Linked DNA regions of Saccharomyces cerevisiae S288C. Changing the gene in region 2 together with the main gene of any one other region gives a genetic interaction. Each region holds a gene or a part of one and is shown on either strand. Other genes may lie near its edges.

What was found.
Region 1: mutations in YPL150W (region 2) and CLC1 together harm fitness more than expected from each alone (negative genetic interaction), as found in Saccharomyces cerevisiae (2 studies listed by BioGRID).

The regions. Positions count from the first base shown.
Region 1 is NC_001139.9:830,456-833,817, reverse strand, and holds CLC1 (clathrin light chain CLC1), read right to left. Parts: upstream 1,363-3,362; coding exon 661-1,362; downstream 1-660. Other genes in the region: PEX35 (Pex35p), read left to right, coding at 1-466; TRS65 (Trs65p), read right to left, coding at 1,621-3,303. UniProt on the Saccharomyces cerevisiae protein: Clathrin is the major protein of the polyhedral coat of coated pits and vesicles. In yeast, it is involved in the retention of proteins in an intracellular membrane compartment, presumably the trans-Golgi. The yeast light chain is important for cell growth.
Region 2 is NC_001148.4:266,244-270,003, forward strand, and holds the start of YPL150W (non-specific serine/threonine protein kinase), read left to right. Parts: upstream 1-1,944; coding exon 1,945-3,760. Other genes in the region: mRNA splicing protein PRP46, read right to left, coding at 1-1,292. UniProt on the Saccharomyces cerevisiae protein: Putative serine/threonine-protein kinase.

The DNA.
Region 1 (3,362 bases), on a different chromosome or scaffold from region 2:
AAATAAGAATGTCGGCGGCCACGAAGTCAGGAACTTTTCTCAATACCTTGGGGTCAAGAACCATAATGATTGGCCCATATCTTCATCAAATTTGAAGCATGTAATGGACAGACTAAATGAAATACATGAAGTTACAATTGATGATAATTATGCAAATATAAACGAAAAGATAATAAATTCATATTTCACCAAGGGTTTTTTTCCAAGTCTAAAATGGACTATATTAAGGCAGTGTATCGAATATTTATTCGTCACGAAAAGGCGCAGATTAATGGGCAACAAATTGCGGTGCATCGTGATGCTTCTTACATTCACCTTCGTGGATCCAACAAGTAAAATGAAAATCAGCCCATTTTTCGCAAAATTCTTTGCGAAGTCCTTGGTTAATGTTTACTTGAAAAAGTATTGGCATTGCAACTTTGGGAAATATATACTATTCTTTTTGTTTCAGCTTAGTATTATGTGATGTGTTTTTTTAGAAGAGAAGAGTTTACAAGTTTGTAAATAATCTATATTATAGTTGTCTTGATAAATGAATTTACAGTATGAATTAGTTATTTACTGAACCTATCAAGTATGATACTCATGTATGACGGGAATGATAGGGAATAAGCCCCTTCTCTTCCTTAGTTCATTATGGTTCTTATTATTCATCATCATTTAAGCACCGGGAGCCTTCGCGTTACCTTTCAATCTCAAAAGAATTTCTTTAAGCTTAGACCTGTCTCTACCCCCAATGATATCGGCATCATCTTGGTTAATTAATTGAAGTGCACGATCCCAGGTCGTATTGTCTTGACCAAAAAATTCATCTCTTTTCTTTAAGAAAGCCTCAGCTTCCTTAGCAGCATCTTCCAATTGTTGTTCCTTCTTTTTATTGTAAGAATCGTAAAAATCGTCAATATGTTTGATAGCTTCATCCTGCAATTCCTTTTTTAACTCCTCGTCCTTTAAATCCTTTTCGTGAATCTCTACAGCACGACGTTGTTTCCATTGGTCTACAACTTCAGAACGATCCTCTTTAACGGATTCTGTACTCTGATTGGCACCTTCGAATGTGGAAAAATCATCATCTGCCTCGCCATTGTCATTACCACTAGATACAGTAGCACTACCATTTTGATCGCTCGAGACTGCGCCATTTGCGGAGTTGATATCTGGAAATTGCTCTTCAAAATCCCTAATTTCGTCATCATCTTTGGCGGGGGAAGCCTCCGTTTCCAATATGTCATCCTGTTCAGTCTTGAACTCGTCTCCAAGTATCTCTGCTTCTCTTTTTAAAAAATCGGTGTCGTCATCTTTTTTGTCGTTGGGTGTGAAATCAATGTTTTGATCTTCCAAAGGAGGGAATTTCTCTGACATTATATATATATGTATCTAGTGAAACGGCGGCGTCCTTCAACTGCTCTTTTGGGTGACTCGCAACGCCTAAGTAAAGCTGTAAAACCCTTTTTCTAGCACGTATATTTTCAGTTTAGTTGTTTAATCTTCTAGGTGCCCCTTTCAGTGTAAAAAAATATGGAAGTGTTTCTATCGTGTAATGTGATGATAATAACTTTTTTATAGAAATGTTACAGATTAGTATGTAGTCTATGTTAATAAAATGTATACTTGTTCCGCTTACTGGATTAACACAGATGCGCCATTTCCAACTTCTATAAGTTCATTTGTATTTAAATCCAATACCTTAAGTCCGGAGAGAGTGCCATAATATCCGGACATAATACCAATAAATCGTAAATCCGCGAAGTATGTTTCTCTCGGAGGTACAACTGGAATTTTGTAATCGTTGGATAATAGTATAATCCCCTCCGCAATTTTTCTATATTTATTATGCAGTTGGTACTGATTTTCCAGTGTCAAGGGCGAATTGGGGATAGTCCCATTATTCATGCCACAGTTGTTTATACCATTGCTGTTACGTACGTTATTAGCTGAAGGGATTGGGTTTATTGTATTGTTATAATACACAACAAGATCCAGGGGGGATGATGACGAGTTAATGATCTGAAGCCTCATAGTAAACTTTTCGCCCTTAATAACTTTTATATTGCTATTAATAAACTTGAATTTTACATTGCTTAATTTGCTATTCACCAATGATGTAGTCGAAGCAGCTCCAAGACTAAATCTTGAGGAGGAAACCCCACCTAATCTTAGATTGGCCAAACCACCAGAATTAACGTTGTTGGCCGCACCATTAAAAGAAGCGCTATGATTGGTATTATTGTTGTTACTCGAGTATTGAGAAGATGTCGAGGAAATTGGCATAGAACGCTTCAATGTGACTTCTGTTTCCCATGATGTTCTCACAGGTAACTTCAGATTGGGATGCAGCTCGAGTTCGTACGCTAAGGTGATTTTCACACGATGTGGTTGAGTTGATTTGGGTAACAGAACCAGTTTAAAAGTAGCGCTAATGCTATCGTATGAAAATGCAGTGAGTGGCACTTTCAAAGGACAGATTGGATCTAGTTCAATTTGAGAGGTTCCGTCGATTAGTTTATACGATATTTCTTGAAAGTTCAGTTTGAGAAAAGAATTGTGTTCTTGCGGATAAATAAATTTTTTGGTCAGTTGTTCGGATGCTTTAGAAGTTTGAAAGTCTAACGATGATAATATGCAATGCTCAGATTTCAAGGAGATGTTTCTCAATCTCATATTCAAAAGTGAGAATATTGGGTATTGGAGCTTAAGAGTAAATGTATTCGGATTTCTAGAAACGTCCGCTTCGTGGACTTCGCTATTTTTAGAACTAACTCGATGAGTCGCCCTGTTATTTTTCTCCAGATGATTATTAGTATTTTTGGATGATTTGGTGGCTGCAGAAGACCAGGAATAAACTGGCTCAAAACTTGGCAAAATCTCCTCGCTAGAGTACTTATCTAATGTATACTTTGCCTGTGGATCTTGTAATGAATCCTGGTTATTGAAATTTGCATCCACAGATTTATATTCAAAGACAAATTTGATCTGATTATTATAACCATTATTCATAACAACATTTGATTTGAAAAGAATCTTCGAACAGCAGTCGTTTTTCAACCTCCATAGATTTTCATTGTTCTCAACTTGGGTAAAATAATCATCGATAGTGCTTGTTCTGGTAACTTGCGCTTCATTTATTAATATTATCATATTCTGTAGTACAAATCTCTTGTTCTCTTGCGAATTACCTTGAAACCACAGCCAAAGATTCAGTTGCTCATCAAATATAATAAATTTACGGCTTAAGTGTGATTGACGTAACTGTTCTATATTACTTCCATCTAAGTCGCAACGCAGCGGTACAAAACATTCCATGGTCAATGAGTTGTGATTTATCAATTGCGCTTAATTCGAATATTGTCCATATAGAGTGT
Region 2 (3,760 bases):
GTCTCATCCTGTTTCCAAATCTTTATGCTTTTGTCTGCTTCTCCAGTGATTAATCTTAAACCTGTTTTATCGAAAGTGCTACAAAGAACACTCCGTTCACCTTCCAGAGAGCCTACCATTTCTCTCGTGGCCAACGATTGGTATTTGTGACCAGACTTATAATCATAAAAGGAAAGCACACCATTGTCACCGCCAGCGAATAATACATCATCTTGATTAATGCTTAAAGTATTGATTATGCCTGTCTTTTCAGACTCAAAATTGGTGAGTAAAGACCCCTCTGCTAATCCCCATGATCTGATGTCATCAGTACACGCAGAAGCCACCGAAAACTCCTTAGGATGCAACGCTGTAGCTCTCACAGACCTCTTATGATGTGTTAGAACTTTCATTGTTTTCCCAGCAACTACATCCCATAACCTTACCGTAGCATCAGTCGATGAACTCACCACTTGAGGGTCTACTGGAGTACACTGTACTTGATTGATTGGACCCTTATGCCCAACTAGTGTAATAACAGGTATTCTGGTTCTCATATCCCAGAGTTTGATAACGCTATCTCGGCCTGCGGTAGCTATGAGATCCAGCGTTGGATGTATGCTCACCGTACGAACCCCCGATAAATGTCCATAGTAATCTCTAATAATTTGGTTTTTCTCTAGGTCCCAGCATTTGACCGTCTTATCTTCACTAACAGAAAATAAATAAGGATGTCGATCTGACACAGCAACGTCTCTCACTGTCATTACATGCCCTGCTAAGGTAGTTTTTAATTTTCCTGTTGCAAGATCCCAAACTTTCATTGTCGTATCATTACTTCCGGTGATGAACCATTCGTTGTCAACAGGATCGATTGCAACGCATCGTACCCATCCAAGATGGCCATTGATAACGCGTGAAAGTTTCCAGGGTGCATGCCATTCCGGCCTTTGTGACAGAAGTTTTTCGTATCGATTAACTATAAGTTCTTCAGCAACCTCTGGTTGGAAAATTTTATTCACAAAAGCAGATGCATGCGTATCGTGATCTTTCTTGCTAATCACTGCTTGTGATGCTTCTGAAAAATCTGTAGGAACATGCTGCAGAGTAACTTTCTTGCCTTCACCACTAAAAGAAGAACTTTCCTTCCTATAAGTATCATATCGCATTAGCAATGATTTCTGACCTTCCATTTCGCTTTGTAGGTGGGGCGGCAGAGTGGCCATATATGAAAATTGGTTATTCCAGCGTATTCTGGAATAAAATTTGTCTACATCTCCTAAATTTTCGACTTTGTGATCATTTCCGTCCATTCTCACTAATCTCCATGTAACACAGTGTCTGCATCCTCGGAAATGGTTTTAAGATGCAATGAAGTGGGTAATAATTACTGTTAGCTTCACATCTTGAATAATCTTTTATTGCCAAAATTGTAGCTTTTCCGTATTAGATGATGAAGAATTTTGAGCACCCTTACTTAATAAAAGAGTTGTTGAACTCGAAATAGGAATACGAGATGAGGAGTAATTCTCTGAAAGTAGATAGCTCCTCTTGTCACATTGAATGCTACTTTATTGTGACTATAGGTGATTTAAGCGAACGAATGTTCTTAGGTCATCGTGGATTTGTGTGGTGATTTTCGGCTTATCTTAACAATGTTGACCGCGTGGACCCTCCCAATCTTGACAACAGAACACTTATCAATAACGGTATACAATAAATATCTTGTATGAATTAAATAAAGTAACGTTTTTTCCCTCATATCATTCCGAATCATTACGAAAATTCCAATACCTGTATTTTGAAGTCAACAAGAGTTTCGTTATCCGAATACTATTTTTTGTATCAATAAATTTTGTTTCGTTTTTCATTAATAACTAGTCACTGTGTAGTGGAAGCAAGTTCTCCTTATCCGTTGCCAAGAGACAATAAAAGACCCACATATAGGTGAATATACTGCTCACCATGGTTAATCCTGTTGGATCCTCGAAATTGGAACAAAACAATATAAAAAGCATTATAGGATCATCGTACAATCGACTATACAGCCAATTTACTTCTGATGAGTTGACAGAAGTGGGAAACTACAAGATTTTAAAACAAATAGGTGAAGGAAGTTTTGGAAAAGTATATTTAGCGCTCCATAGACCAACACATCGTAAAGTCTGCCTAAAGACGAGTGATAAGAATGATCCCAATATCGTTAGAGAGGTATTTTACCATAGACAGTTCGATTTTCCTTATATTACAAAGCTTTATGAAGTGATAGTGACAGAATCAAAAGTGTGGATGGCATTAGAATATTGCCCAGGGAAGGAATTATATGACCACTTACTTTCTCTGCGTAGAATATCGTTATTGGAATGCGGAGAGTTGTTTGCACAAATTTCAGGTGCTGTTTACTATGCACACTCAATGCATTGTGTTCATAGAGATTTGAAGTTAGAGAATATTTTATTAGACAAAAATGGAAATGCAAAATTGACGGATTTTGGTTTTACGAGAGAATGTATGACAAAGACGACATTAGAAACGGTTTGCGGTACCACAGTTTATATGGCACCTGAATTGATAGAAAGAAGGACTTATGATGGATTCAAGATTGATATATGGTCATTGGGAGTGATACTATACACATTAATTACGGGATATTTGCCATTTGATGATGACGATGAGGCTAAAACGAAATGGAAAATCGTCAATGAAGAACCGAAATACGATGCTAAAGTTATTCCGGACGATGCTAGGGATTTGATCTCACGATTATTGGCTAAAAATCCGGGAGAGCGCCCATCGTTGTCACAAGTTTTACGCCACCCTTTTTTACAGCCTTACGGTTCAGTGGTTTTAGATCAGACTCAGAAAATTTTGTGCAGACAGCGCAGTGGAGGGACTCAGTTTAAAAGTAAATTAGAAAGGCGATTGCTGAAGCGTCTTAAACAATCAGGGGTTGATACGCAAGCAATAAAACAATCAATTTTGAAAAAAAAGTGCGATTCACTCTCGGGTCTATGGTTATTGTTGTTAGCCCAAGGGAAAAAGCAAGAAAATTGCAAATATCCAAAAAGAAGCAGGTCCGTTTTATCAGTCAAAAAAGTTATTGAAAGTGCTACGCATAACGACACTAATGGCATTAGCGAAGATGTTTTGAAACCCTCACTTGAACTTTCTAGAGCTGCTTCATTGAGTAAAATGCTCAATAAAGGCTCAGATTTTGTAACATCGATGACTCCGGTTAGCAGAAAGAAGTCTAAAGATTCAGCAAAAGTTCTGAATCCTACTCTCTCTAAAATATCCTCACAAAGGGCTTATAGTCACTCTATTGCAGGTTCTCCTCGCAAGTCCAATAATTTCTTACAAAAAGTTTCTAGTTTTTTCAAGTCAAAAAAAAGCTCTAACAGCAATAGCAACAATAGTATTCACACAAATGTTAGTGAAAGCTTGATTGCAAGCAATAGAGGAGCCCCATCTTCAGGGTCGTTTCTCAAAAAAAACAGTGGTTCTATTCAGAAATCAAGAACTGACACTGTTGCAAATCCTTCAAGGACGGAGTCTATAGGATCGTTAAACGAAAATGTTGCCGGTGCCATTGTGCCACGGAGTGCTAATAATACTACATTAGAAAATAAGAAAACTTCTGGGAATGAAATAGGCTTAAAAGTAGCTCCAGAACTATTATTAAATGAACATATCCGAATAGAGGAACCTCGCCTCAAGCGCTTCAAATCGTCCATATCAAGTGAAATATCTCAAACTTCTACTGGTAATTATGATAGCGAAT